7 linked regions of the Sus scrofa genome follow. The protein of the gene in region 2 interacts with the protein of the main gene of each other region in a pairwise test. Links are inferred from orthologs where the notes say so. Each region holds a gene or a part of one and is shown on either strand. Other genes may lie near its edges. The genes, in order: WBP11, PPP1CA, CSRNP1, TPRN, ZFYVE9, STAU1 and SPRED1.

Evidence for each region.
Region 1: the proteins of PPP1CA (region 2) and WBP11 interact in binary tests that used the Homo sapiens proteins (3 or more experiments, as listed by UniProt). The link is inferred for Sus scrofa from reciprocal best matches to the Homo sapiens genes PPP1CA and WBP11.
Region 3: the proteins of PPP1CA (region 2) and CSRNP1 interact in binary tests that used the Homo sapiens proteins (3 or more experiments, as listed by UniProt). The link is inferred for Sus scrofa from reciprocal best matches to the Homo sapiens genes PPP1CA and CSRNP1.
Region 4: the proteins of PPP1CA (region 2) and TPRN interact in binary tests that used the Homo sapiens proteins (3 or more experiments, as listed by UniProt). The link is inferred for Sus scrofa from reciprocal best matches to the Homo sapiens genes PPP1CA and TPRN.
Region 5: the proteins of PPP1CA (region 2) and ZFYVE9 interact in binary tests that used the Homo sapiens proteins (3 or more experiments, as listed by UniProt). The link is inferred for Sus scrofa from reciprocal best matches to the Homo sapiens genes PPP1CA and ZFYVE9.
Region 6: the proteins of PPP1CA (region 2) and STAU1 interact in a two-hybrid assay, tested with the Homo sapiens proteins (2 studies listed by BioGRID and IntAct). The link is inferred for Sus scrofa from reciprocal best matches to the Homo sapiens genes PPP1CA and STAU1.
Region 7: the proteins of PPP1CA (region 2) and SPRED1 interact in binary tests that used the Homo sapiens proteins (3 or more experiments, as listed by UniProt). The link is inferred for Sus scrofa from reciprocal best matches to the Homo sapiens genes PPP1CA and SPRED1.

What each region holds. Positions count from the first base shown.
Region 1 is NC_010447.5:57,748,632-57,752,809, reverse strand, and holds the start of WBP11 (WW domain-binding protein 11), read right to left. Parts: upstream 2,863-4,178; 5' UTR 2,659-2,862; intron 953-2,658; 5' UTR 895-952; coding exon 831-894; intron 304-830; coding exon 272-303; intron 1-271. UniProt on the Homo sapiens protein: Activates pre-mRNA splicing. May inhibit PP1 phosphatase activity.
Region 2 is NC_010444.4:5,118,848-5,123,023, reverse strand, and holds the start of PPP1CA (serine/threonine-protein phosphatase PP1-alpha catalytic subunit), read right to left. Parts: upstream 2,823-4,176; 5' UTR 2,788-2,822; coding exon 2,733-2,787; intron 2,237-2,732; coding exon 2,105-2,236; intron 1,974-2,104; coding exon 1,743-1,973; intron 1,145-1,742; coding exon 1,040-1,144; intron 649-1,039; coding exon 425-648; intron 343-424; coding exon 208-342; intron 125-207; coding exon 14-124; 3' UTR 1-13. UniProt on the Homo sapiens protein: Protein phosphatase that associates with over 200 regulatory proteins to form highly specific holoenzymes which dephosphorylate hundreds of biological targets.
Region 3 is NC_010455.5:23,842,362-23,846,716, forward strand, and holds the start of CSRNP1 (cysteine/serine-rich nuclear protein 1), read right to left. Parts: upstream 2,838-4,355; 5' UTR 2,628-2,837; intron 1,740-2,627; exon of another isoform or gene 1,452-1,739; intron 1-1,451. UniProt on the Homo sapiens protein: Binds to the consensus sequence 5'-AGAGTG-3' and has transcriptional activator activity. May have a tumor-suppressor function. May play a role in apoptosis.
Region 4 is NW_018084833.1:698,497-702,609, reverse strand, and holds the start of TPRN (taperin), read right to left. Parts: upstream 2,903-4,113; 5' UTR 853-2,902; coding exon 1-852. Other genes in the region: TMEM203 (transmembrane protein 203), read right to left, coding at 3,943-4,113. UniProt on the Homo sapiens protein: Essential for hearing. Required for maintenance of stereocilia on both inner and outer hair cells. Necessary for the integrity of the stereociliary rootlet.
Region 5 is NC_010448.4:159,983,973-159,987,605, forward strand, and holds part of ZFYVE9 (zinc finger FYVE domain-containing protein 9), read right to left. Parts: intron 3,117-3,633; coding exon 1,018-3,116; intron 1-1,017. UniProt on the Homo sapiens protein: Early endosomal protein that functions to recruit SMAD2/SMAD3 to intracellular membranes and to the TGF-beta receptor.
Region 6 is NC_010459.5:50,849,301-50,853,387, reverse strand, and holds the start of STAU1 (double-stranded RNA-binding protein Staufen homolog 1), read left to right. Parts: upstream 1-1,214; 5' UTR 1,215-1,251; coding exon 1,252-1,456; intron 1,457-3,533; coding exon 3,534-3,658; intron 3,659-4,087. UniProt on the Homo sapiens protein: Binds double-stranded RNA (regardless of the sequence) and tubulin.
Region 7 is NC_010443.5:133,013,813-133,018,212, reverse strand, and holds the start of SPRED1 (sprouty-related, EVH1 domain-containing protein 1), read left to right. Parts: upstream 1-1,487; 5' UTR 1,488-1,620; coding exon of another isoform or gene 1,621-2,602; 5' UTR 2,603-2,630; coding exon 2,631-2,662; intron 2,663-4,400. Other genes in the region: basic salivary proline-rich protein 2-like, read right to left, coding at 1,621-2,602. UniProt on the Homo sapiens protein: Tyrosine kinase substrate that inhibits growth-factor-mediated activation of MAP kinase. Negatively regulates hematopoiesis of bone marrow.

The sequences.
Region 1 (4,178 bases), on a different chromosome or scaffold from region 2:
CAAAAACCAAAAAACTATGTTACAATAATCTGTCTGTAACTGTATACTTCAGTTTGCAAGTATAGTATTTTGGCTTACAAAAAACAATGTAACTGTATACCTCAGTTTGCAAGTATAGTACTTTGGCTTAGTAAATCTTATGGTTTGTTATGAGAAGCATAATGTATCTTTTCTCAAAAACAACTGGAAATGTTTTCTAAATCCACTCATTGCAAATAATAAGATGTGCCAAACTACACTTATATCTAATAGGATGCTTCTGAAGTCATACCTTCTTTAATTCTCTCTTCCGAGCTTCTTTTCCTTAAGAGAGGGAGACAGAAAGAAAATAAAACTTTCAAGTCTTGAACATTAGCATTTTCTCCAATTTAATACAGATAATTCTTTAACGTGGGAGGTTGACCCTGGGCACTGTAGGATTTAGCAGCACTCCTTGATTTTACCCATTAGAGGCCAACAGCACCCTTCCAATTACATCAACCCAAGATGAATCAAGACATTGTTAAGTCCCTCAAAAAATAGCTATGATTCTGAAGAAAAAAGATGCCAAAAAATACTAAACAAAAACTTAAAAACAATTTGTTTAAAATCCCAAATACAAAAAGAAAGCTTTAAGCCAATTCTACTTTGAAAGTCAATCAAATTAGAAATACAGGTGCTACTTTTTTTGGTATGCTTAAAGTTTTAATCATGTGCCCAAGAGAACAATAGGTAATTTTATAACTGATACTTCCTAACACTGCTGATCTCTAAGGCTTAAAATAGACTTCCTAAACCTTGTGATTTTTACCACTTCTCCTCCTTATCATTTCACATTAATGGATACTTACTGGCTTGGTCTGTGGGGTTCATAAATTTTCCACTCTTGGTGGATGATGTTGATCTCCGTCCCATGTTGACAATTTGTACGGTTTACTTGTTTAAAAAAAAAAAAAGCCCAAAACCTAAAAACCTGTAAAGACAAAAAAAAAGAAACAAACAAAAAACCACACTGATTTTTCCTATATTTACAAAATTTCTTTTTATACTGATAAAATTTTCTTCCTACTAAACTCTGAAAAGAAACATTTCTTTGATTGAGACCTTATTCTTTCCCTAGTCTTGACTTTAGTGCCCAGGAAAGATAGTCTCAACTTCCCCAACAGATTCCTATTATTATTTACAAAGGTAATGAGCCTGAAGATCACTATGAATATCAGTTAGTCGTCAGTTAACTTTCTTCTATGGATCACAATACTGACTCATCAATAGAAAAAAAAAAATCAATCAGAAAACGCTTCAACAATATGACATGAACCATGTGCATGAGAAGCTATTAGTTCTTTTCCTATATCCTTCCTGTATTTATAGGCAGGGTGAAAAGGAATAAGAAGGGATGGTGTGTGTGTAAAACTGGGCTCAACGACAAATAGCTCACCCTTGCCTCTTTCATTGGTTTCCTGGCATGTTTTCCCAACACCTCTAAGACAGTAAAAACTCATTAATTTAAGCCTATTTAATGCAGATTTAGAATTCAGATATAATTCTTGACTCTCAAGCAGAAGCTTAAAACATAACTAAAAACACAAATATTCAAAATGAAAGTATATGAGAGCTTCTAAACACATAAACATCAAGATACATATTTTTCTTACTAATATCAACTTGACTTCTGATTTGTATTTTTTTAAGGTCACTGGAAGCGTTAATTGTGTTTGAGGGAAAATACTTTGTAAGTCAAAATTTTAATTAATTTAAGACACTATTACACTATTTCTTCCTGTTATTCCAAATGAATGAGGTTTAACTTTTTGATGCTTGCTCTTGAAAATAATAAAAGGTGGAAAAGAAATCATGAGGTACACTTTTTTAGCAGACCATGTAAGTCCCCCTTCCCTTCATGAAGGTTTTTTTCAGGCAAGTTTATTAGTTAATACCTCTTTCGGCAAGTGTTCAACTGCCTGGATTTCTGCTAAAAAGCTTCAAAACTGTTCCAGTAACAACTAATTCACCCTGTCAAGGGCTTCCTTCTCACAAAAACTGGGAGTGAGGGGCGAAAGGAAGCGGAAACAAGCAAAATTGGTGCAAATACAAGCTCTCGCATCTTTGATGGCTTTATCTTTTCTGCTTTCCTCTCTCAATTACCCTCAGGCTTAGGTGTTGACACTCCTCTCCCCAGCCTGAAGCCTAAAACAGGTACGAAGTACAGAGAATTTTTACAGAAGATGCTGGAGCCTGACTATGCACAAACTACTTTCCTGTCTAAAAGCAGAGGCGATAGAGACATCGGGTCACGGGCTGTTCAGCGGAACTCTCAACCTCCAAAGAGGCTTCAAAGGAACGGAGCCCAGGTCCAACAAGGGGCCAACAGTATTAGCAACTGCCGAAACCATAGCGACGGTTGACCCTGATTCCAGGTATAGACATCACATCAAACCTAAGGCAACCCGGTCAACGTCAGGAGGCTCCGCTGACCAACCCGGGAGAAGTCAGGCGCTTGACCGCCGGACGCTGCTCCGTTCCAGGCTCGGGGATCCCCTAGTTCCCGGTCTGGTAGACGCTAACCGCGAAAAGGAAAAGCGGGGGCACAGGGGCCTGGCGTTCCCGGGGCAACCGCGCGGGCCCCAGGAAGGGACCCGAAGGATGAAGAACCACAGGGGAACGATCCCGCACACTCACACCTCTGCTGGGCTCCTGGGGCTGTGAGAAGCGGGGAGGGGACGATTCTTGGCCTGTTTGACTTCGCAGAGGCCTTCACCTCTGCCTCTCGGTCAGCCACCCAGCCACCGCCATCTTGAAACCTCGCGCCCCTCCGCCATCCTTACGTCACTTCCTCTCCATACGGGCCGACAATCTCATCGTTTCGGCGCCCTGAAACCATAGAGAGTAACCGACAACTCCAGGACCAGAGTCTCTTCCGCTGGAGTACAGTACCGAATTGGTTGGTCGGGGCTGAGAGCCCGCCCTCATTACTCAGTGCAGTGCATGTTGATTGACACTCCTATAGCCCAGTTAAGAATAAGAAAATTAAGCGGGTGGGATATATGATTGGCTGATGCGACGACAGTCCTACCCTCAGGCATTCTGACCTAATTTCCGGGATCCGCATTTATTTCACCGCCTGAGGCGGGCGGAATCCGGATGGGGAAGTTTAGCGCCGTTTGTGTTACCGGGGATTGTGTTTCTGTAGTTTCTTTGATCATGACCAGCGCTTGCCGTCTTTTGAGAGTTTCTGTTTAAAAAAGAATCCCGGGCGTTCCTGTCGTGGCTCAGTGGTTAACGAATCCGAGTAGGAACCATGAGGTTGCGGGTTCGATCCCTGGCTTTGCTCAGTGGGTTAAGAATCCGGTGTTGCCGTGAGCGTGGTGTAGGTCACAGACGCGGCGCCGATCCCGCCTTGCTGTGGTTCTGGCGTAGGCTGGGCCGCTATAGCTCCGATCTCCCATTCGGAGCCTGGGAACCTCCATATGCCGCGGGAGCGGCCCAAGAAATGGCAAAAAAGACAAAAATAAATAAATAAAATGAAATAAAAAAGAATCCCCCAAGAACACTTCTTGCTGTGCTTGATGCACTTGCCTAACGTGGTGTGCGCCTGGAAATTCAGTAGTTTTTACACAGACCATTTGTAGACCTGAGCAAATCGGTGCCCATATCAGAGTCCCAGATTGCTGCAGGACTATTTTTCTTTGAAGAGGGAACGTGGGGTACATGTACAGTCAGTTTTAAGTTTACGAGTTGTGAGATTGATTTATGTCAGCTCTTTTCTGCTCTTTTCATTCACCAAAAATCCTTTATGATGTCACTGTGCTAACGGACTTAGTTCCTTAGGTCTAATCTCAGTCCTTTTCCTTCGCTTTTATGGGCTCTTTATCTGAGAGTCCTCCCATATCTTTTCCTTTTAAAGGTAAGTTTAAATATTTAAGAAAATATAAGGACACCTTGGTTATTTCTCCCCTTAATCTTTCCCTTATAGGGAAATGTTAACACAGGCCAAGTCTTATTATCGGTTATAAATATGCCAAAATCTTGACGGAGGTATATAATTAACTTTTAGAGAGTATTTAAATAGGCATTTAACCTGTAAAGTCGGTCCCTTATCTAAAGGAACTCTTGCTTTAGAAAACACTTGATTTGGTTTTAGTCTGAATTTTGAGTCCCAGAAGAACAGTTAGTTACAAGATACATGTTTATAAATCAGG
Region 2 (4,176 bases):
GGGCACATGGAGGCTATTTCTTGGCTTTGGCGGAGTTGCGGGGTGGGGTGATGGGCCGGCCTCCAGGATTCAGGCCACTGAACTGCCCATATTTCCCCTTGTTCTTGTCGGCGGGCTTGAGGATCTACAAGAAACAAGCCAGTCAGGTTCATGGGGCCAGGCCAAAGGCCCCCGGCCCCTTCCGGCCCCTTCCGGCCCCCTGCCCACCTGGAAGGAGCACATGAGCGTCTCGTCCACGCTCATCATGGCGCCTGCGTTGTCAAACTCGCCGCAGTAGTTAGGAGCTGAGAAGAGTGTCACCAGCTGCCTCTTGGCAAAGAACTCGTAGCCATCTTCTACCACCTGGGTGAGGGTGGGGGCAGTTAGTTCAGCAGGTGCCGGCTGCCCCGCCCCAGCCCAGCCCAGCCCAGCGCCGCCAGCCCACCTGGTGTGCCCGGCAGATGAGATCCAAGTCGTGCTTGTGCAGGAACTTGGCCACCACCTCCGCTCCAAAGGTAAAGGAGACGCCGCGGTCATTCTCGCCCCAGCCCTGCACGTCCTTGTCGGGGTCAGACCACAGCAGGTCACACAGTAAGCCCTGGTCAGGCACGTCTGTGGGCCGCATGATACGCCGAATCTGCTCCATGGACTGCAGGTCGGGGGACAGGCCTGGGGAGCACAGGAGGTAGATCACTTCCTTGAGCCTCAAAACGAGGCCCCTGCCTCCTCCGGGAAGCCTTGCCGATCAGCCTCTGTCCCCACCCCTCCGTGGTCTCCTGGGAGCCATGACAGGCAGACCTCGCCACCTTCTGCCTCTCGTAGCCCCTGTTTCTTCAAGGAGCACAGGGCTCCTTGGAGAAAGGAGACAAACTCCACGTGTGAAGCTGTGGCCACGACCTGACAGCACAGCCTGACATGAGGGTGCGGGGGGACTTCATGGAAGAAACGACTCGGGGGAGAACTGTTGCAGCTGATGCCTTTGTCCCCAAGCCCCCCGGGATGGGGCCAGGCTCGTCCCTCCCAAGCACTCCTCCAGCGCGGGCCCCAGAGCTGCTCTCACCTCCGTGGCAGCAAAAGATCTTCTCGTCCACAATGGCAGCGATAGGCAGGCAGTTGAAGCAGTCAGTGAAGGTTTTCCACAGCTTGATGTTGTAGCGTCTCTTGCCTGCCCAGAGGAAGGAGGTGGCTCGTGAGAAGGCCTGGCTGCCCCACCTTCAGCCGGGGTCCCTGGGCCTTGCAGGGCACATCATGTGCTGTTCAGACACAGCTGGGAGGGAAGCAGAGAGGGCAAGGAAGGGAAACCCATCCCACTGCCTACCAGCTTTCCAGGAACCCCAGCATTCCAGTTCTGGAACAACCTCAGGGTTGGCACCCACCTGCAGCACATGAGCAGGGCCAGGCCAAGACCAGGTCTGTTTATCTCTGCTTCTGGCAAACAGAGTCCAGTCCAGACAGGCAGCCTAAGTGCTTAAGTAACGGATGCGCTGGAGGGGAGTGTCACTGGGCAAGGCCCTTATTAGAATACGGGCAGCCCTGCAGCCAGCACCCATTCACCAGATCCCTCCTGAGTGCCAGGACCCATGCCAGGAGGGCAGGTGGAGAGACCTGAACTGGCCTGGCCCGGCCCTGCCTTCACGGAGCTCAGTCTAGCAGGTATTTGTCAGACACTGATACCCCAGCTGCCAGGCCAACTCGAGGGTCCCTCTGAATGGCCAGGAGAGCCCTTTAGGACCCGGGCAGCCCCAGACACCCATGGCACTTACACTCATCGTAGAAGCCATAGATGCGGTTGATGCTGGCACACTCGTGGTTCCCACGGAGCAGGAAGAAGTTCTCCGGGTACTTGATCTTATAGGCCAGCAGCAGGCAGATGGTCTCCAAAGACTGCTTGCCCCGGTCCACGTAGTCCCCCAGGAACAGGTAGTTGCTCTCTGGAGGGAAGCCGCCGTACTCGAACAGCCGCAGAAGGTCATAGTACTGGCCGTGGATGTCACCTGGGACCCAGGGAACCAGGTCAGGTCTAGGTTCAGTCTAAACCTGAACCCAGGGATAAGGCTGGGATCCAGGGACTTTAGAGGGGCCAAAACCACTTCCAGGAAGCAAAGGGGCTGGGCAGGGGGCTCACCGCAGATCTTGAGGGGTGCCTCCAGCTCCAGAAGGATGGGCTGGCTCAGGAAAATCTCCCGGGATTTGAGGCACAGACCACGGATCTCGTTCTCTGTCAGCTGTACATTCTTTCCAGGCCGCGAGCCCTGCACTGAGGGTGGAAGGAGCGTCAGGACCCTGGTCCCTGAGACTAGGAGAGGGTGGGTGACACACAGGCCCTCATGAGCACTTCTGGGGCGCCTGGGCCCCTCCTTGCCCAGAGGCAGCTGTTGCTGCTGAGCCTCCTGGGACCGGACCCCAACTACCCTCAAGGCACTTGGGAGGGGACTGCTGTGCGCAGGGGCCCTACCACCCAAAGCCTGATAGCGCAGGACCCCTTCCCGGGTGGCTAGGCTTCTCGGGTTTCTCCCTCACCCCAAGAGCCCAGGCCGACCCATGCGCCCCGGCCCTGTTCCAGCGCGGGGAACAACCCCAGACCTCCAGGCGCGCCGCGATTTGGCGGGGAGAGCCACGGCCACGGGACCTCGCGGCCCGTCCCCGCCCAGTCTAAGCTGGCCCTGGGAGGGGCAGGTCCACCCGCGCGCCACTTCCGGGCCGGGAAGGGGGCCAGGGCGCGGCGGGCGCCCACCTCCCCCGCCCCGGCCAACCTTCCAGCAGGCGCCCGATGATAGAGTCCAGGTTGAGCTTCTCGCTGTCGGACATGGCGGCGCCGCCGCTCTGGCCCAGCAGCTCCGGGCCCGCTCCTGCCTCCCACCCTCCCGCTGCCTCCTTCCGGCCTGGCTCTCCTTCCGCCCGGCCCGGCCCGGCCCGCCCCGGCCCGCCGCCCCGCCTCCTCGGCCGCCCGCTCCGCCCCTCGTCGCCCCGCCCCGCCCCGCCCCGTCCGCTGCCCCAGCGCTCTAGCGCCTCCGCCGGACGCCGGGCGCAGAGGCCCAAGCGGCCCGGGGGGCGGGGCCTCAGTCACGGGGCGGGACTCGGACGGAACGCCCATCTCTGGGGCGGAGCCTCTTGGTGGGCGGGGCTTCGAGGGGCGAGGTCGAGTCTAGTTCTGCCTATGAGAAGTTGGCCACCCCTTTCCAGAGAATATGGGACAGGAAGTGCTGTGGAAGTTGTTTTTCTCTTTTAAGGGCTACGCAGTCCTTCTCACCTCCGCCCTGGGCGGGAAGTTGGTGTGAGCTCATCGGTAACTCATTGGGTCTCCCCAAATACTGCCGATCAAGTCCTTGAAGTGCACAGAGATAGCAAAGGGTTGGTCCAAGACCTGGACCTAATTCAAGGGCCTCTACCTCCGGAGTCTCTGTGGCCCCCAGGTGACTGACCAGACCTAGAAACCTGTCACTAAACTCCAAGCCCATTTTGGTCCACAGTGCCTGTGATGCAAGCTGAATTAGCGGTTAATTTTTTTTTTCTTTCTCAGCTGCACGTGGAAGTTCCTGGGCCAGGGACTGAATCCAGGCTGGAGCTGCGACCTATGCCACAGATGCAGCAATGCTGAACCAGCGCCTCTACAGAGACAAGCCATACCACTAATCCGCTGCACCACAGAAAGAACTCCTATCTATGTATTTATTTATTTATTGTCTTTTTGTCCTTTTTAGGACCACACCCACGGCATATGGAGGTTCCCAGGCCAGGAGTCCAATCAGAGCTACAGCTGCCAGCCTACACCACAGCCATAGCAACACCAGATCCTTAACCCACTGAGCGAGGCCAGGGATCAAACCTGAAACTCCATGGTTCCTAGTCCGATTCGTTTCCACTGTACCACGATGGGGAACTCCCTGTTTTTTTTTTTTTTTTTTTATGTTTTATCATTGCCTTTTGAGTAGCATAATTAAGCTACATTGTGCGCATGTGAAAAATGTTATTTCGTGAAGAGCAAACATTCAATAAACCGTAATTCTCAGAGTTCCCATTGTGGCGCAGCGGAAATGAATCCAACTAGGAATCATGAGGTTGCGGGTTTGATCCCTGGCTTTGCTCAGTGGGTTAAGGATCCGGCGCTGCCGTGAGCGGTGGTGTTGGTCACAGACACAGCTCAGATCTGGCGTTGCTGTGGCTATGGCGTAGGCTGGGGGCTAGAGCTCCGATTAG
Region 3 (4,355 bases), on a different chromosome or scaffold from region 2:
CCCTGATATTGTGGGAGGAGGAAGAGCCCCTGGCTCTTGTGATCTGCCATCCCACCTGGAAACCCAGAGGCTGAGAGAGAGAGGCAGAGGCAGATGAGACAAAAAGACTCAGTCAAGAGACAAGGAGAGGCCAAGTCGAAAAGGAATGAAAGATAGAGAAAGAGTCCAAGAAAAGTGTCAGACAGTGAGTCAGAGGGTGGGGGAGGGGCCCCCAGCAGCTACCCAGGAATCAAGATCCTGACCATGGCACTGTTCCCAGGGTGAGCACAGCCCCCTCCAAGGGTCCTGTAGGAAGGAAAAGCAATTCCCAGGAGCTGGCTCAGACAGAAATACCACACCCCCTGGAGCCCCGGAGACAGGCCCTGAATCAAAGAGAACCAAGCTTCTTCCGGGATCTGCCTGGGCCCTGAGAATCAGGCCGCCCTGCATCACCACTCACAGGAGCCCAGAGCCCAAGCCAGCGGAGGGGGGGGCGCTTCTTCACCCAACTTGCCACAACTAACTGCACACTCAGGCCACACTATTGTCAACCCAGGGAAGGCCAACTCACCCTGGATACCAAGCAAACAAAGACTGTTTGGGGGGCGGGGGAAATGCCCAGGCCTCTGAAAAATCACACTAACTCCTCTTCGACCTCTGCAGTCCCAATGCTCCAGCTCCCAGTCAGAGCTATTATTGGGAAGGGGGCACCTTCATCTGCCTCCAACCTCTTTCAGGAATCTGAAGAATGTGTCCTTTAACCTCAGAGCCCCAGGCCTTGGTCAAGCCAGCTCCCCTCAACACCTGGGGTCACATGACCTTGGACCCTCAGGAACTACTTCCTGGGAGAAAGGGAGGGCACCTCTGAGCAGCTCATGCCCCCAAGGGAATTGGCTAGAAAACACCCAGGACAGCCTAAAGAAAGCAGATAGGAAGCCTTGGCACACCCCTCCCCCACCCAACCCTCAGAAAGTGACGGGGGGAGGGGACAGTTCCTCAGCCTTGGCCTCCAGGGCCTGGCACTGGGGAGGTGCCAAAAGTTTGCTGGCTACATGAGGCAATTGCTCCTGCAGAAGGGAAATTGCACCTGACAGTGAACGCTTCCTCCACCTAAGCGGGGCCCCTTCACTCTCATTCATTTATTCATTCAATCAACAAATATTTATTGAGCGCCTAGGACATGCCAAGCACTGTGTCAGGCACCTGGGCATACACAGAGTAAGACATACACTAGTGCTGCCCCCTTAGAGCTGTGAGTTTAGTGGGGCGGAGTATAATTAGAGTTACAAACTGTGTTGAGTGCTGGAATGGAGAGTGGGAGGGATATTTTTTTTTGAAGTTAAAATTAGGTATTTATTTTGTTCCACTCCACTAAGGCAAGATATCCCTGGTTAGGTGAAGTCAGGTATCTCCAAGGAAAGGAGAGGAAGTAGGAAAAATACCAGAGTGGGGGCTAGAGGAGGGAGAGCTAGGGAGGTGAGGGGAAAGGGGCAGCCTGCGAGGGGGCTTCAGGAGCCTGGGCAGTTACAGCAGGCTTTAGCCTGAGGGCTCAGGAAGCCACTGAAAGGTTTTAAGTAGGGAGTGACATACCAGATTTGCATTTTAAAAAGATGGCTCCCGCTCAGGACTGGAGGGGGTGTGACCAGTTGGACCAGAGCTAGGTGAGAGATGACAGGCCAAAGGCTTAGGAGAAAGGGGGCAGGAACTTGGTGACCTCTGGAGCTGGGGACCAAAGAGGCCAGTGAAGTTGAGGATTTGGGGTAAGTGATGAGTTGCGCTCCAGAGGACTGTGAGGCATCGGAGTGGAGGTGTCGGGTGGGCAGTGGAGCCAGGCAGGGACCCTCTTGTGTCATGAGTGTGGGCTGTGCGTGACTGTGCCAGGGAGTAGGAGTGACTAAGTGTGTGCGACGGCTGCTGTGGTGTGGGCATCTTAACGGGGCCCCCGGGGAGGGTAAACTGAGGACCAGGAGGAAGTACGTGCTGGGGAGGGAGCCGTGAGTGGGAGAAGCCTACGTGTGCCCGCGGGTGGCCAGTGTAGCTGCGCCCGTGACTCACAGCGGTGGCCTCTGCGTGTGACGGTGACTGACAAACAGGTGAGCATACGACATAATCCCTCCCTCCCTCCAGGGGTCCGTGACTCACGGAGCCTCACTCCTCGCTCTTCTCTCCACTCCCTCCCTGACGGGCGCCGGGCACTCGCCGCAGCCCCGGCACCCGCCCCCGGGGGGAGCCCGAGGAGGAAGGCGACAAATGTCACCTGCTCCGGCCACGCGAGGAACTTCTGAAAAGTTCTCAGGCAACTGGGTCAAAAGGGAACTCACCCGGGACGCGCGCCCGCCGCCACCCCGCCACCCGCGCGCTATCCCGGCTCGGCTGCCACTCACCCCAGGCTCGGGGCACAGGGACTTCTTGGGGTCCCAGTGGCGGGGCGGGGGAGGGGAGGGGAGCGGAAAACCTGAGACTGTCGCCTCCCCGGCTCCCGGCCCGGACTTCCTCCGTGGCGCGCGGTCCGGGGCCAGGCTGTCTTCGTCCTGGCGCCCGAGCAAAGGTGGCTGGAGAAAACGGCAGGGGCCGGGGAGCAGCGCCCCCCGCACGGGACGCCCCCTTCCTAAAGTCTGTCCCACCGGTCTGAAGCCCCCGACACTGACCTGAGATCCGGATGCTCGCCAAGGGCAACGCTGAGACCTGCGTCCCGGCTGGGAACGCCCCCTACACGGCGACCCCGCGCTCGCTAGCTCGCTCAGCCGGCAGCGATCTGCCCAGCAGCCCCTCTCTCTCTGTGCGTCCGGCAGCAGCGGCGGCGGCGGGAGACTGGCTGCGCCCGGCCCCGCCCGCAACTCCGCCCTCCTCGTCAGTGGAAAACTCCGGGGCTCACGGCGCTGACGCATGCCGGGCCTCCCGCCCCGCCCCGCCCCGCCCCGCCCCGCCCCGCCCCGGAGGCACCGCCTCCTCCCCCTCCCGAGCCGGCGCAGCAGCCGCAGGCCTCCCTGCGGACTCTGACCTCGCGCCAGCGCCGCTGGCGCTCTCCACCCCCAGCCCCCTCCTTCGCCCCTCCGCCGCAATCCCGCGGGCTCTCCTCCGCACACACTTTTGGAGAATCCCCGAAGCTCCGGGCCGGCAGAGCAGGATCGTAAAGATCCCCACCTCTCTTCACGGCCCCAGTTCACAGATAGGTAGACTGAGGCCCAGAGCAATGCAGAGCGTACCTCAGGCCATCCGTGGGTGGCAGAGCCGAGGCCTCCTATACATCTTACCCCCACCTTGCCCGAGGCAGTTTACTATAATCCAATCAAATATTCCTTCCTCCCTACCCGCCCCCATCCGCCTGGAAAGTAACCTGGAGATGAACCAGAGGAGGGGAGTGGAGGTGGGGACGGGGCGGGGGGGGGGGGAGGGGGGGGAGAAGGTCATCCTTGGGCCTGACCTTCACCTCTGCGCACGGGCGAGAAACCCTGCAGAAGCCCAAAGCTAGGGATTCCTGGAACCAGTTTACCCCCACCCCACCGCCACCCCATCCCTCCCTTAAAAAAAAAAGAAAGAAAAAAAAAAAAAGGAAGAGAGAAGGGTAGTTTCTTCTGAGCCAGACCCTGGCCACTTAAATGGCCCACTGCCTGCTCTGCTCCCGCCAAGGCCTTTCCTGACTAAGGGCCAATTCCTCCAATGTTACTGCGCCTGGGAAAGTGTGTGCATGTCTCCGCGGCGAGTTCTGGCCCAGGAGCCCACCCTCCACCCATCTTCCCAACCCCTGGTCAGATCCGACCCACCACCACCCACCACGTCTCTTGAGCGTTTCCACCCTCACACCTTTGCAGCAGCCTTTCCTCTCACCTCGAATGCCTTCTTGTTCTCTCACTGCTTAGCAAAATCCCAACGCCCTTAAGGTCTCAACTTGCACTGCCTCCTCCAGGGAGACTTCGTGGGCTCCTGACCCTCCCCCTCCCAGTCTGGCTCCCGCTGCATTCTGGGTTCTTCTCTGACTGTCCTAGATGAGTGCTGTCTGTGACTAGTCCAGCCCTCAGGGTTGCTTTCTACCTAACTCCAGGTGAGCAGTGGGGGTGACCTGTTCTGCCTGGTTGGCATCTGGGGTACAGATGATGGAAAGATCTCCCTTAACGGCCACAGGTGTGTCTATAGAGGGGGTCAAGAGGGGGTCTGCCTGCCCTTTCCTTTTCCTAGGAAGAATGTAAGGGGGAAGCTACTGCTCCTGTTCTTCCTGGATGCACTGAATGTATGTACCTGGGGGGGCCTTCTGGGGGAGGTGGCTGGACAGCGGAAGCCAACCTTCCAGTGACTTCCCAGTGCTCTCAGGATGAAGTCTCAACTTCATACCTACAAAGCTGGAATAATCAGGCCCTTGCCTACCTTTGCAACCTCAC
Region 4 (4,113 bases), on a different chromosome or scaffold from region 2:
CACCTCCACCTTTGGCTTCCGTTCACCCGGCCCAGGCGCAGAGCCCGCCAGGCCGTTGGCAGCGCCAGCCCGGGGATCGGGGGCCGCGGGCCCGTTGGGGAGTGGGCGAGTGCCTGCGCTGCGGCTCAGGCCCCGCGGATGGACAGTGAAGGAGTTGCTGCCGGTCTTGTGCAGGAAGTCGCTGCGCCGGGGTCCGGGGCCAGGGCTTGAGCCGCAGCGCTCGGGCTCCGGCTTGAAGCAGGCGGCGCGCTCGCCCACGCGCGGGACGGACCGGCCAGGGGAGGGCGGCGGCGCTGGGCGGCCGCGCTCTGGGCTCCCGCGGCGGCACGGCGCGGCCGGCGGGTCGAACTTCTGGAGCAGGCGACTGACGCGACCGGGAGGCGGCGGCGCCTCGTACACGAGCACCTCGGCGGCGCGGATGCGGGCAGCCGGGCCCGGGCCGGGGCCGGGCTCGGGCGCAGGAGCCGGCGGGAAGCCGGGCGCCGACTCGATGATGAGGATGTTGTCGGCGCGGATGGTGCGCACGCCAGGCACGCAGCGGTACAGCTCCAGCAGCGGCGGCGCCTGCCGCGCCCCCTGACCCGCCACGCCCGCGCCCCCGCCGTACCGCGCTCCACGCCGCCGCTCCGACTCGAGCCGCATGAACGGGTTCTCGCGGAGCGGGCCCAGGCTCTCGGCCAGCACCAGCCGCTCGGCCGCCGGCCCCGGGGGCTCCGCCGCGCCCGCCCCGGCGCCCGGCGCCGCGCCCCCACCCAAGGCCGCCAGTTTGGCCCGCTTCCGCTCCAGGATCTCTCGCTTCCAGGCGGGCATCGCGGTGCGGGATCCCGGGCCCGGCCGCCCCAGGCCGGCCATGCTGCAGAGCGGCCGCCGGAGCCAGCGAGGGCCAGGAACTGCGGCCACCGCCCGCCGCCGGCCTTCGCGCCGCGGCCACGCCCTCCCGGCCGCCGCACATTGGAGGAGGTCCGTTCAGACCCGCCCGGGCCCGGCGGCCCCACCTATGGCAGGGAAGGATGGCGGGCCGTGCTGATTGGAGGGCGCCCTCCCCGACCCCGCCTACCCGCGAGCCCCGGTGGACAGTGGCCTTCGCCGCAGCAGGCCCCCATTGGCGAGGCCCTCTCGGACACGCCCCCGACGCCTCAGGTCGCTCCTCGGAGGCCCCCACTTTCGCCTCTGCTCCCTCGGCCAGACCCCCGCCCCCACCGGACTGAGCCCGGGGAGAGCAGGTCCCGGTCTGCGTTACCCCCGTGGGAAGATCGATGGAGGAAGAGCCAACCCAGGGCTGGAAGCTTCCGTGAGCAGGGAACCGGCTGCACACCTGCCTCATGGTCCAGGAACTGCCCACCTGCAGTCCTCTGTCCCCCGCGGGACTTCTGGGGGATGCCAATGCTAGGGCCCCATCCGGTGCTGAGGAATTGCTTTCTCGGGAGTCCCTAGCTCTTGCCGCCCCCAGTATCCACTCAGTTGCTCAGAGTAGTAGTGGAAACTCCACTCACGCCCAGAGCCCACCAAACACAGAGGGGAGTGTGGAAGCCGTGAGCAGGTACAGAGGAAGGGGGCTCCCTCCCCGCACGAAAGCAGGCCCACAGCTCTCCAACGCAGACAGAACCTCGAGTCAGAGCGTATACTCCGTTCACGTGTGGAACCGCCCGTCCCAAGGCTGGTATGAGCGCCACTGACTCTGAGAACACAGCTTCTCTGCCTACTTGCCAAGAGGAAGCTTACTCCCCTTGGAGGGCTGCACAGTGCCCACCCACAGTGCCTGTGGGTGCCAAGGAGAGAGGGGGAAGGTGGCCGTAGACAAGGACAACGTCACCTGCCCTACGTCAGCAGTTGTCCAGTAATGACACCACTGCGTCCCACACTGCTTACCTTTCAGGGACCAGGCTCCAAGAGCACCTGGGGCTCTGCAAAATCCAGGGGCAGGCTTCGACCTGGGGGTGTCCGGCTCAGCCTGGGGCCCTTGGCAGTCTGTAGCTGCCACTACTTTAACAGCACTCCAACAGCCCAATCTATTCATCTAGAGAGAAGAAACTGCAGTTCTGCCTTCCAGAGCCCAGATGTCCCTTCAGGACGCGCCTCAAACCACCCTTCCAAAGAAGTTAGGCCTTCTTATCACTTCTAGGTCGACAGGATTACCTCATTCTGAACTACCAGAATACAGCGGAGGGACACCAAAACACACAACCTGAAAAGAACATTAAAAAGAAACCCACTCCCAAGGACCAGCTTGTGTCTGGCTTCGACACGTTGAGCGGATCCTGGGTAAGAGACATTTTTGAGGCTGTGGGGCAAACGACCAGTTTCCAGCTCAAGCATCTCAGTGGTTCAGGCCACGTGGGATCCATCCCAGGAAAAGTTCCCAAAGGTGCTTCGCTAGAAAAAGGGTCCACAAACGTGTTCTGTAAAGGGCCAGCCAGTAAATATTTTAGCCCAGTGGTTCTCACCAGGGACAGCTTTGTCCTCCAGGAGACTTGGCAATGTCTGGAGACACTTTTGGTTGTCACAAGTGAGGGGTGCCACTGGCATTTCGTGAGTAGAGGCCAGGGTTGCCACTAAACACTCGACAAGGATCAGGACAGCCACTCCCCATGCACACACAACGAAGAAGGACCCGACCCAAAAGGCCAACAGTGCCGAGACTGAGAGACCCTGTACACTGCAGACCACATTCCCATCCTGGCACATGCTTCTTTGTTTTTACAACCCTATGAAGATGTACGTCATTCTTAGCTGATGGGCAGTACAAAAACAGGCCTCAGGCCATAGTCTGCCAACCCCTGCTCTGCAGCTCAGCCAAGGCCCACAAAGACTCTGAAGCCACACAAACTTGATAGGTTCTCAACCCGAGTGCACCCTGTGTTGACTACCCCCTGCCTCCCCAGGCAGAATCTGGGATTCCCCAAGGGAACCACCACCACTCCCCCGGCCCAGGAAGCTCTGCCAAGTTCCAGCCCCCCTTACAACCTCAGCTCTGTAACCTGCTGCACCCCGCAGCAGGGGGCGTCTCAGCATTCATCTTATTTCACCATCAAGAGGTCAAGCAACCACTGTGCACGTCAGCAAAACATGCTTTTATTTTCATCTCAGCAGATGTTCTCATTTGGCACCTGACTGACACCACACCAAAGCCCTCAGGCCAACAAGCATGGGCTGAGACCATGTGCAGACTTCTCGTTTGTAGGTCGCAATGCCCACGAGCCTCAGGGTACCTGGTCCTCTCCCTGGTCCCCTAGGAAGGCCTACATCTGTCTCAGGTACGCTAACAGGGCCGGCCACAAGGTGATGCACAAGTCACGACACTGCAATCTGCTGGGACAGGAAGCCAAGCAGTGCCTGGAAAGCACACAGCTATGTGGAGAACTCCACATAGGGTTCCAGTCGTGATTATTCAACGTACTCCTGTCTGCCTGGGCTGGAATGAAGAAGGCCTGTCCTCCCCAGGGAAACCAGGAAGGAGACACAAGCACGTTTACACTTTCCAGAGCTCAGGCATCGAAGGAGGTCTTCTCCTGGATGGGCTGGGGCTGGGGCCGGGAGCGCTCAGGTCAGCGCTGCTGGCCAGAGGAAAGCTCGAGTCCAGCTTCGCAGCCTTTGCACAGGGGGTACCTCCCCAGGATCCATGAAAGTACTCAGAGCCGATCAGAGCATTTTGCCTACATGTAGTTTCCACCTGTCAGAGGTGTTCAGTACTGTGTGGCCTGGGGCCCTTCTCGGGATCTCAATTCAAAGTTAGCTATTCAAAGCATGAAAGAAGAGGGAGTACATTTCAAGGATCATGGCTGCTCTTTTTAGCCCTGCTGAGGGAACAAGTTCAGACATGACTGGAAGAGAGAAAACTGGGCACTCGGCAGGGCTCAAGCTGGATGTCAGACTCAGACTTCTGATGCAGTACAAGTGGGACCTCAGCTTGGGGTCCAGCATTCCAATATATCCTCTGCGAGGCTAGTTGACCCGGCAGGCACGGATCATGAGCAGCTGCAGAAGAATGAACACCGGGGACGTGATCAGGCCGAACCAGAGCTCCCGAGTCTGCTCCACCAGCTTCTGGCACAACAACATCTCGAAGACGAACTTGAGGCTAAGAACTGTGAGGACCCAGAAAAGGCGGAGCAC
Region 5 (3,633 bases), on a different chromosome or scaffold from region 2:
TGGGAAGAGGCCAGGTTGGACTTAATGCTTAGAGCTGTGCCACATCTTGAGACCACAAGGGGAAGACCAAGAGCACGTCAACGATTCTGACCATATACAAAGCATGCAGAGTCTCTATTTTCAGGTTTCTTGCTATGTGAAATGTTATTTTGTCTAAGTCACTGAGGGCCAGATACTCTGCTCTTTGAAGGTGAAGGCATTCTAATTAATACAAACAGACCAATAAATCAGGCAAGAAGGGTATAGAGGTTAATTACTTAGCACTATTACATTTGTAATCTCATTTAATCTTCATAACAGCCCAATGAAAATGATCTTTTTGTTTTTATGAAAAACTAAAGCTTAATAAAGTTATACAGTGATAGTAACAAAGCTGAAGTTCAAACCCAGACCTGACACCAAAGCCTGCATTCTTTTTAAAAATACAAAATCCCCTTTCCTCCTTTAGCTAAGAGAATTAAGGGAGAGCTAAGAAATATCAATTATTCCTATAACCCTATCACAAGGATCTAAAGCCTTCAGCTCTTTTTTTTTTTTGTATCAGTTATACGGGGGAAAAGACAAAAATATGTGTATATATGTGCAGAAAGTTCCAGAATGTCCAGTACAATGGCAAAAATCCTATAGTAAAAACTGGAATGGTCTTTATAATGTTCAGTTACTCAAGAATTTAAAAAGAGCCAATTGCAAATATTTCTTAAATCAAAAGAATAACTTCCTTATTTCAAACTATTCCATTAAGCAACTAACCACAAAGTTAACACTTCCTCAATTCTCATGTATTCATAAACATTGATTCAGCTTAAATCTTTACAACAACAACAACAAAATGTATATAAACACTAGGACTCCATGAGGTCATTTTTCATTTGGAAACTTACTATAACTAGATGTTCAAAAGCTACTTACAATGTCATCTCAACCAGAAGTATGCTTACTTTATATTGCCCTTACTACTTCTAACTCAGCATTACAAAATGTGCATGCCAGATTCCTGAGCTGATACACACAACTTACCTTCCCACATGCTCTGCAATGATGCCTCCTTTTGGTGAATGTAAACCTGGCTTCGCATTTCATGCAATTTGGAGCCTGAGAATCTGGTACCCATACTGGAGCCACTTCACCCAGAGTGGTAAATGGCTTTCTAGCAGAAATTCCAAACTGACCAGCTCTGAGATCATTATCTGGGCTTTCCGGAGCTAACGCAAGGCACGGTCTACTGGATATTCCAGACTCATAACTTTCTAAATGTTCCCCATTTGTGTCAGCAATAGAGATATTTCCCAAAGAGGCATTGCATATATTGGTTGCTGAATTTTCCCCTAATTTTGCTTTCCCGAGGACATCATTTTTGTTTTTAATATTATTTCCACTGTTTACAGGAAGGTCATTTTGTAAATGGTCTGATAATGGCTTTGGAATTTGAAGTTTAAGATTAGAGGGTTGCTTGGGTCTTGCACCACCAAAAGGAACACTGATAGATTGCAGGTTTGCTACTATCTTAGGTGAAGATTGCCCAAGCACAGATGGAACTTGGCTACAGAAATTGTGTAAATAATTTTTCTTCATGAGGTCACCACTGCTGTTTAAAAGTAGTCCACTCCCTTCTGTGGTTTCATTGCCTCTCTGTTCATAAATATTTGAGTAGCATTCAGACTTGCTCTCTTCTATTTCCTTTTCTTCTGTTACTGAATCTTCTTTGGAGGGTAAAGTCTTTGGAACAAAACAAACAACTGGGCTCTGCATTCCATAGGAATCACAACTAGATAGTGAATTTGCTGCTGGTGTATCCATGACAGTGGAGAAATCACATCCTTCACTTTCATTCATGCAGTTTCCTTTTAAATCTAGACTTGCTTCTGCCAATCTATCACACTCTCCTCCACTATCATCGTGGCTGTCTTCAGGGTGACTTATCTGCAGAAACTTCTCATTCTCCATATTTACCTGGCTGTCATTCATCTTGTTTGGTTCAGTCAATTTCCAATTAGTCATCTCCTGAGATTCAGAGAAATGCTCTGTCATATTAAGAAGTTCTGAGGTGCCAAGAATTTCTTCATGTTTACAACCTTCATTTTCATCAGCTCCAATGTCACGGGGTACAAGGCTATCTGAAAACTGCTCACAGTTATCAGCCCTTCCAGACCCATTAGGCACGTCTGCTTTGAGAAGCAAAGGTAAACCAGACTGGATGGATTCTTCTGTTGTTCTCTCCTCTGCTGGCTCTTTTTCTGTCAATATCCCCTCACTCAAGTGGGAAAAGGAATTGGGGCTCCCTAGATCTGTCCTAGGAGAGCTGGTTTGGCCAGTGAGAACCTCATCTGGTGTAGAGTCCGCTTGCTTTATGGCAGGACCTTCATCCGTTCCCTGGGATGAGATTACTGAATCAAGTGTTAAACTTGTAATCAAAGACATGGAGGGTTCTCTATCTGTATTTTCATCATCCTGTAACTGTGCAGGGGAACAGACACTGGCCAGATTATCAGATGAAGTAGTACACATATATTTAACAGAATCCCCCTCTGCATTTGGTCTACTCAATGGATCTACTTGTTTCTCTGAGTTCATTCCTTTCTCACTGGACCCATTTATACTAAAACTAAATTGATCAGTTTGTCTGTTTTCATTATCCAGCGAACTGTTAAAAGCATCCATGAGGGATTGACTATTATAATTATTACAGTCCTGCAAATCACTTTGTAATGTCCTTTTATCACAGTTATGCATGACGGCTACAACAAGAACATTCTTCTCATCTGGCAGACAAGCTAGGTTTCCACATTTCTTCTCTCCCACTTCAACAGTACTGCATTGATCATCTTGGGTACAGTTCCTCTTAATTAACTGGTCTTCTGCAACTGCATTTTCATCAATCCACATTGTGCTAATCTCTGGATTCAGACTACAATCCTGTCCATTAGCACAATGGTCCTCTCCCTTTGTGTTAAGAGGAGCTGAATGAGCCAGGGAGAAGATTTTCAGTTGTGGCTGTGACTCAGAAACTGTAGGTTCATTCACACTGGCCAATGCAGGGTTAAATGACAGTCGGTGAGAAGAGGGATCTAGTATCTTATTCCATTTTGTATCCAATAAGATAGGAGAAACAGTTTCATCTGAAAAAATAAATAATTACAATAAGTTTGCTATAACACTGATAAGGCTAGAACTAAGTTAATGAACTACATTTGCAAATATGCACTGAAAATAAAATATTCTCAGGATATGTGAAAACTGAATATTCCTAGGATATGGAGTTTCCAATTGTTAGCTGAGGATAAGAAAATACTGCTCCCTGTATTACATGTCATCAAATGCTAATACTTCAGAACATTCCAAACAAGTCTAGTAACATAATTAAAGTGGTCCACAGGCTATATTTGGGGCCTGGGGTGGGGTGGCAGTAATGGGGAAGGCCTTGGATTAGCAAAGCATGGGGTAGGGGATCCTCTGAGATGGAAACAAATCAGAACAATGATAAGGATGTAGTAATTGAGTGGGAGGAAAACAAAGGAATTCTCTGTGAAGGCAGAATGCTCTATAATCTACATCATGACTGAGATGTGGGTTACATGGATATATCTATTTGAGAGAACTGTATAGTTAAGATCCATATATTTTAACCTAAAATTT
Region 6 (4,087 bases), on a different chromosome or scaffold from region 2:
CTTGTTTTGAGTTTTATGGTTCTTTTTTTTCTCAGCAAGAGAGAATGTGCCAGGACTTCTCAAGTAACTTAATGGCTCTGGTCATTCATGTCTTTCTAGAGGTTCAGCTTTAATTAAAAATCATTTTGAGACTTAAAAAAAAGTTAAAGTAACAAAAATTACCCTGTAATAGATGTGTTAGTTTGCTGCTTTCTGCTTGGTTGGCTTTTTCTGTTCTTTGTTGCTTGTTATTTTTTAGTACTTTTGACTTAAACATTTTCAGCTTTTCGAAGGATGGCCATGAAAATATGCAGAACTGCCCTTATTTTTGACTCATGAATAAATTTAAATGTCTTTAGATGCAAGGCCTTTGGAAGATGCTGTAAACAGTCTCCTCTGTTCCTCAGGCTCTACCCGCTACCAGTAGAAAAATTGCCAGTCTGAAATCTTTTCCTCTCTTCTTCATCCTCTCCACTTTTGCTTTTAATAGTACAAATACTATAGAATGTTCTTTCCTATTCAGATAATTTCTCAGGGTCATGAGCATTGATGTGGGTGCCTCAGTTCTTGTTTGGGGCCTATAAATAAATATGACCATCTCAAACAAACCTCTCGTGAAAACAAAGAGATCTTTATCATCATAAGGAAAAAGAAACAGCAAACGTGAGGAATTCCTCTCTTTCTTCAGTCAACTTAAAGGAAAGCTCTCAGGGTGCCAGCCTAAGTAGTTGGCCCTAAAATGGAAGCAGTATTTAATCACCTGTTAATGGTGTTACCAATCCATTTTGCTTTCAGCTTCTTATCATTTTGAGATCAGAAACCTTTACTGTATTGCATATATAATAGAAAACTTATTCATATTTTTAAATTTGCATTTTTGAATATAAGCTGTGGTTTATGATTCTTAATATTCAACAATAAATATTATACCCTGCTGGTTCTCTTTGTAAAATAAACATGCAGAGCGTGTGGGTATTATAAGTTGTTTAAAAACACTATGAGAAAGTCATAAGGCTAGTGAACCTACCATATAACAAGGAGAAACACATTTCTAATACATCAACATAGCTACCTACTAAACGGGGCTATTTTCATACTTGAGTAGGTGACACCAGTTTTGACTGAATATTGGCAATTACGTATCTCCTCTATAATTTATCTTTTTATTTTCTTTCCCTACAACTTTCAGGTAGAACTTTAGACTTCATAGCACTGAATTAACCTGCACTGAAAGCTGTTTACCTGCAGTTGTTCACTTTTTTGAAAGTGACCATGTCTCAAGTTCAAGTGCAAGTTCAGAACCCATCTGCTGCTCTCTCAGGGAGCCAAATACTGAACAAGAACCAGTCTCTTCTCTCACAGCCTTTGATGAGTATTCCTTCTACTACTAGCTCTCTGCCCTCTGAAAATGCAGGTAGACCTATCCAAAACTCTGCTTTACCCTCTGCATCTATTACATCCACCAGTGCAGCTGCAGGTAAGCGTATGACTCCAAGTGTCTTCTGTTTCAAATGTTTTCTTAGCCTGTGTTCTGATCTGATAAGTAGATTGCAGATGTAGGGAGCTCTCACACATTTATCTTCAGGAAGCAGAAGAAAGTATTACTGCCCACACTTCTTTATCCCAGATATGAAACACTTGTTTGTATATTGGGTTGATGGAGGCCTTGGACAGACCATTTTGAAGTGTGAGAAAGAAAATTGGAAACTAAACTATAAAGTTTACTGTGTTATAAAGTGGTGGATGGCAGAAAGAATTGAATAATAAATACTACTTTGGATATTCATTACTATATGGGAAAATTTCTGCTTTTAAAGTTATTTCCCAGAGGAGTTCCCTGTTGTGGCTCTCGATAACAAATCCAACTAATATCTGTGAGGACACGGGTTTGATCCCCGACCTCGCTCAGTGGGTTAAGGATCTGGCATTGCTGTGAGCTGTGGTGTAGGTTGCAGATGTGGCTTGGATCTGGCGTTGCTGTGGCTGTGGTATAGGCTTGCAGCTACAGCTCCGATTTGACCCTTAGCCTGGAACTTCCATATGCCGCAAGTGCAGCCCTAAAAAAAAAAAAAAAAAAAAAAATTTATTTCCCAGAACTGACTTGTAGGTGTAAGCCTCCTTTTTGGATATATATAAGATTTATCCCAAGCATGGGAGCAGCCAGATTTACTGGAAAGCAAAAGTGTGTTACCATTCATTAATATTTATTTTGAAAAAGTAAGTTTAAGTTGAGGTTCCAGAGGTAGTTACGAAATCATAGTGTGGACCAATTAGAAATGGAACAAAGAAGCAGAGTTTTTTGGTTTTTTTGGTTTTGGCTGGAGCATGCAGCTGCTTGATGTGGGATCTCAGTTCCCAGAGCAGGGATTAAACCCAGGCCGTAGCAGTGGAAGCACCAAATCCCAATCACTGGACCACCAAGGAACTCCCAAGAAGCAGAGATTTTTTTTTTTTGAAAGGAAATAAGTTGAGAAGCAGTCATATTTGAATATTAGGAAATTAAACCGAACTAAATACTCTCACTCATCAGAAAGGATATGACACCTCTGAAAAAAGAACCTCCTGAAAACAATATTCTGCTTCCCAAACCTCCCCTGCCTCCGCCGAAGTTGCAACACCAATTAAATGGGGTATCAGCATGGGTGTCTCTATATTAGAGTCACCTTCTAACAAATTCTTTTCAACTCAATATGCTTGACAGTTTCGCTTGCATTTCCTCCTTCATCCTCTCATTTTCTTTACTTTTTAAATCTGTTCTTAGAGCGTTACCTTGTCCCACTCTCATCTGCATGGCATCTATCATGCTACCTCTAGACTTCCTTGGACTGGCTCACCAAATAGCATTCTTACCTTGTTATAGTCCCCTAAAGAGTCAGTGTTCCCCAGATTTGCCATTTGAATGCCATCTTAATAGGAAATGGCACAGACTATTTCAGTCCTCTGGGATTTATTGCTGTTTCTTCTCATGTGTTCTTATATCCACATTTTGTTAATTTTATAAAAGTCCTGTCTGCCAAAGCCATTTTATTTTTCTTGTATAATTGTCAGAAATAGATAAAGCCTGAGGATGGCAGCCTCTGGTGATAAGACTAGAGGACGTACCAAGAATGAGAAGTTAGCTGTGTGGAAAACGACAGTCGTTGTTTGAGAAATGGTATTGGCATGTTGCGTTTTGTGAAATAACGAACAGGGTACAGTTGACAGCTGTTGTGGTAACCAGTGTGTGTGTGTCTCTGCTCAAAAGATCTCCTGGTTATTCCTTTGTGTATAATAGCAGTGCTTCATCTGATTTCAAATCTTGCGTGCCTGCCATAATTTAGTTATTCCTCTGACTTCTGTTCTCTCTCTTTTGAAGACACACCCTCTCCTAGGTTACCGGGCTTCAACTGGTTCAGAAAAGATCTGGCTGTGTCTTCAGACTGTGCCCCCAGTGTGGTTTGCAGTTTTGCATCACGGCTGCTCTGAATCCTTAGACCTTCATTTTTCATATCCCTGGTAGAGCCACAGTCTTATATGCTACTAGTTGACTTCAATGCTCTTACATTATTTTTCAGTTCCTTCTAATATGGCACACCCCAAAGAGAAAACCCCAATGTGTCTTGTGAATGAGTTAGCCCGTTTCAACAAGATTCAGCCTGAGTATAAGCTTTTGCGTGAGCAAGGTCCAGCTCACTGTAAGGTAAATATTGTCCATACTGCTTGTGCGTTTATAACCCACTAGGAATGTTTTCTTTCTTTTTATATAGTTGCAAGTGGTGCTCTGATTCAAAATACGTATTTTTTAACTGCTGAGGTTGTCTGAAAGAGATGCAAAAGTACAGATTTTTGGCAAGTCGCTTCTTTTTTCATCTTTGCAGAATGGGTCAAAGAAAAGATAATGCATCTTTTGGGGGATATTTGGCTTTTAAAACTCCAATTAGTGTGTGGTTGTTTAAGATTCTGAATAGAGACAATTCCCAAGTACCTGCGAATGATTTCCTGTGAGTTTTACAGGCTCCGAGCCTCCTGGCTACAGCCTTCCTCTGGCTCCTTTCCTGCTTGTTTGCACGTGCACGTGTACCTTAGACTGGGCAGGGAGAGCAGGTGAGCAGGAAATCAGTTTTGCCAC
Region 7 (4,400 bases), on a different chromosome or scaffold from region 2:
CACTTCTCGTCACAGTTTCTTTGCAGGAACAATATGAAAAACATAGGTTCAGAGGCAACTTCTGACTATTGCCTATCCCCTTTACCTCTTCCTGTCACTAACACTACCCCTTCCTTGCCCTGAGAAAGGACAATTCTGCTGCAAGACAAGAAGCAAGAGTTATATAAAACCTCAGAAATCAACGGGAGGGTCTTTGGGCAGACTGATTCAACTCCTTTATTTATTCCTCTAGGATTGACTAAGCACCTACAATGTCCAAAATACTATATAAAGGCTTGGTCCAGACTCTCTGGAACAGCAGTCCTGAAACTTCCTGGAGATGGATGGCAAACGAGTGCTGACTTATTCGGCAGTCTCCCACTTTTTCTTTCTCAGGAATTGTTCTATTCCTCAAGGTGGCAGGAGCAGCAACCTTCGTCCTCGGGTCGCACAAACCCAAGGAGAGAAAAAAAGCACTGCACACAGAGCCATACTGATACCTAGGGAGATGCGTCAGAAACTTGGGACTCAGTCCACCAGGCCTGATCCAGTACAGGCTGCCTTTCTAGGTAGGTAAGAGATAATAGCACTTGCAGAGCCAGGAGCTGAGTCCTCTGGTCCGGCAGACCCTTAAACTCTGGCCCAAACCCCAGTAGGTTTCTGTGCAAAAACCTTTTGAGCTGAATGCATACATTGTCCTCTAACATTGCAAACGTGACAGCTGCCTATTGAATAATTGTTCCGCCTCGGTTTAGAGCAGTTCGTGCGTGCCACAGAGGCATCTTCTGCGCTATAGTTATGCAACCTCACTCGCAGCGGGAGTTATTTCCTGTGCTTCTGGCTGCGCCAGATTCATATAACACGCCTACCCAGGGCTTCAATGGAAGTCGTTCTCCATTAACAACCACGCTAGCTTTTTGAGATGAATGCCCCGCACAGAATACCCCTTGCTCAGTAAGAATCCAAGGTATTTAAACTCTTTCTCCCTCTCTAACACACACACACACACACACACTCCTTCAGTGCATGCAGCTAGGAGACTGCAGCAGTGCAACCAGAGGGACAGCAGGAGGAGCTCTCTTTGTACATGTAGTCCCTTCCCTCCAACCCCCACCAACTAAAGATGAACTCATGCCAGTTCCATTCTTTGCTCTGCAAGGAAAACACACACACACACACACACACACACACACACACACACACACACACACACAGCTGAACAGAGGAGCCTCCATTGCCTCCTTGAGCACGCTGTCATCCTAGCCTCTAGGTTCAAACAACCCGGATATTCCAAAGCGAGTTAAGGGGAGTACCGCGCCGCCACAATGCAACCTCCGGAGCTGCTCCCGGTGCAGCTCCCACCCCCGCCTCCTTCCGCGGCGTGCCAAGAGTTTGGAGCGCGCGCACGCACACGAGCACCGTGCCTGCGTATCCCTCCGCCTCCCTCCTCCTCTCCCCGCTCTGTGGCTCGACAACGATTTGGGAAATGAAGGGAGGAGGGAACTACTTTCCTGAAACTTGCTATGCTGCACACGACTTCGAGTTGCGGTGATTCGTCCTGAGGTCGCAGCTTTTAGCCCTCCTACCCACTACACCCTCACAGCCCGGTCACCCCGCTCGGCCACCCCGCCCCATACCCACTCTGGTTCTCCGGGAAGCTGGCGGTGCGGGGAAATCGCCAGGGACTACTTCGTCTCCTTCTCCCGCGGGCGCCCCCGGTTCGGGCAGCGGCGGCGGCGGAAGGAGCGGGCGGCGTGAGCGCTTCCGCCGCCCCCCTCGCGGCTCCCCTCTGGCGGGCGTGAGGAGCTGACCCGCCGAGCTGCTGCTGGGCGCAGGCTGCTGGGGGACCCGCGGCCGCTCCCTCGCTCTCCCGACGCTTCTCGTGACCCTGCCCCTGGGGCGCGTCGCTCTTCTCCGGCCCGGCTGGGGGCGGTCGGTCCGCCTGCCCCTGCCTCACACGCGTCCCGCCGCCCCCTCCTCCCTCTTCTGGAACCGTCCCGGCCAGAGCGTGTCTGGAGGAATCCGCCGCCCTGAGGCCCCTCGCCCGCTTCTGCTCGTCCGGAAGGACCGGCCCGGTCGCCGCCGGGGACTGAGGGCAGCCGACCGCGAGGCGGGAGATGGTGGGGTGGGCTTCCGCAGGACCGCGCTGCCGCCGCCCGGGTCTGGGCTCGGCACCCCCCCGCCGGCCCCCACCGAGCGGAGCCCTGCTTCCTCCTCGCCGCATCCTTGAGGGAAGCGCCGCCTCTGCTCCTGGGTTCTCCGCCCGCCCGCTCCTTCCTGGCCGGACCCCGCCGCGCTCCACCCCAGTGGCCGGAGGAGCAGCTCTCCAGTCTGCCTTTGCAGCCCCCCTGCCTTTTTTCTTCTCCTCCCACCCTCCCTGGCTTCCTCGGATCTCTTGGCTGGGCGCTGAGGCGGGCGAAGAGGCTGGGGTCGCCACGGTGGAGGTTGTCGCCGCCACCCCCCTGCGGGGGTGGCCGGGGTTCCCGGCTGGGGGGGTACCGTTCCGGGTGAGACATCCACCATGGTGAGGCCCCTGAGCCGCTGCCCCCGCGCCCCCCCGGCCGCCGCTGCCTCTTGCCCCTCGGTGCTGCTGCTGCTCCTGCGTCTGCTGTTGCTCCTCCATCTCCAGATCGGATCACGGTGAGGGAAAGATGAGCGAGGAGACGGCGACTTCTGACAACGAGTAAGCACCTTACTGATCTTGATTACTTACCACCCCTCCCATAGCCCCCTTCCTTGGCACTCCCCCAGACCCCTCAGAGACTTAGGTGCTTGCAACCCTGGAGAGTTCGGTGCATCTTGCTGTGGAGAAAACATTTGTTTTTTTAGCCATTTTATTTAATGGCTGCACCCCACCCCCTCACCCCCACCCCCAGCCTTTAGTTGCTTTCATCTGGGGGAAGGTATTTAGTGTTGGGCTGGGATGGCAATTGTGCGCTCGGGAGATGGAGTGCTGTAGATGCATGGAGGCGGGGTAGAAATTACCCCAGTGCCTGGAAGACCTCTGGCCTGTCCTTTTTCACTTTAGCATGCCGGTCAGCATACCTTGAATATCCGTCCTGCCTCCTTTATAGCAGTTTCTTTCGGAAACTAACGTGTGGGAGCACCTCCTGCCGCAAACTGCTCTTGAATCTTAATTCGATGAGTCAGTGACTCTTAAATACCGATTAAGCCCCCCCCCCTTTTAAACTTGTGACCTGTAGGATTCTTGTAAAAAAATGGGGCGAGGGAAACATTTTAATAATTTAATAGCATTAAGGACACCTTGAGTGTGGGAGATGTTAAACTATACTGTTTTGCCTTGCGAATGCTGGACTTGTCTTTATCAGGAGCGTAGAAGGATTTTGAACGCTCAGCTATAAGGATTTTTATCTCTCTCAGCTGTATTTTGAAACACACCATTTACGTTGATTTAACAGTGTTTACATTGCTGACCTTTTTGATGACTTCATTCATTAACTTCTAGAGCATCCCGGCTTAAGTTCTTGTTTATTTGGGCTGTCCTTATGTTTTCCAAACGAAATACTGTGCCTTTAGAATATTTTGCTTTAACGTAACAGCTGCCTGGAGGAATAATGATGCGGCAACCGCTTTCTGTTGAGACGGGATTTAATTCCATGCTGCTTATTAGCATCCGTTTCTTGTAATTAAATTCAGGTTTTGATAATCTTTGGAGGGTTATAAAGAGTTAAGTGAGTTATAAAGAGTTAAGTGAGTTAGGACTAGTAGGACGCATTCCTTTAAGTAATGTGCATTCCTCAAGTCAGACCTTTTTGAGAGAACTTTAAAGTCCGAAGCCTAGGCTTGTTTAACGTAAAGTAGCTTGAGAAATGCCTTGCAGCGTCCCCCACCCCACCCCCCCCAGCGCTCTCTTCTGCTGAGCGGGTGTGGGAGAAGGTAGATTGCTGCAGTGTCAGTGCAGTCTGGAAGCAGAAGTGGCCGCCATGTTCTCTCTCTTTTTGTGAATCGTTCTCATTTGCATAGCACACTCTTCATTCATAAAAAAATAATTAAACATCCATCACCTTGGACATCTTGAAAGGATTTCCCAAGAAAAAAATTAGAAGCTCAACTGTCTGCCTTGCTGTAGATTTTTGAGTTCAGAAAGTAAGGAGAGTTCGAAGTTATAGGTTAAATTCAAAAATAGACGCACACACAAACAACTACCCCTGTTCTCAGAATGTTGACACAGTTATGTGGGAAATATCAGTTCGGGGAGGTGCTGGGATCACGTGATCGCGTCCATTCATAAAATACCTGGCTGTCCATTCACAGTGCTGTACACTGTCTCACTGCCTTCCGCAGATTAGACCTACTTTGAGAGAGATCAAAAAGTATCTCAGATAACGCAAAGTTAGTAGAGAAAAACTGCTAAAAATCCTGAACAGATTGACGATATTTTTTCTAGTATCGTCTTTTAA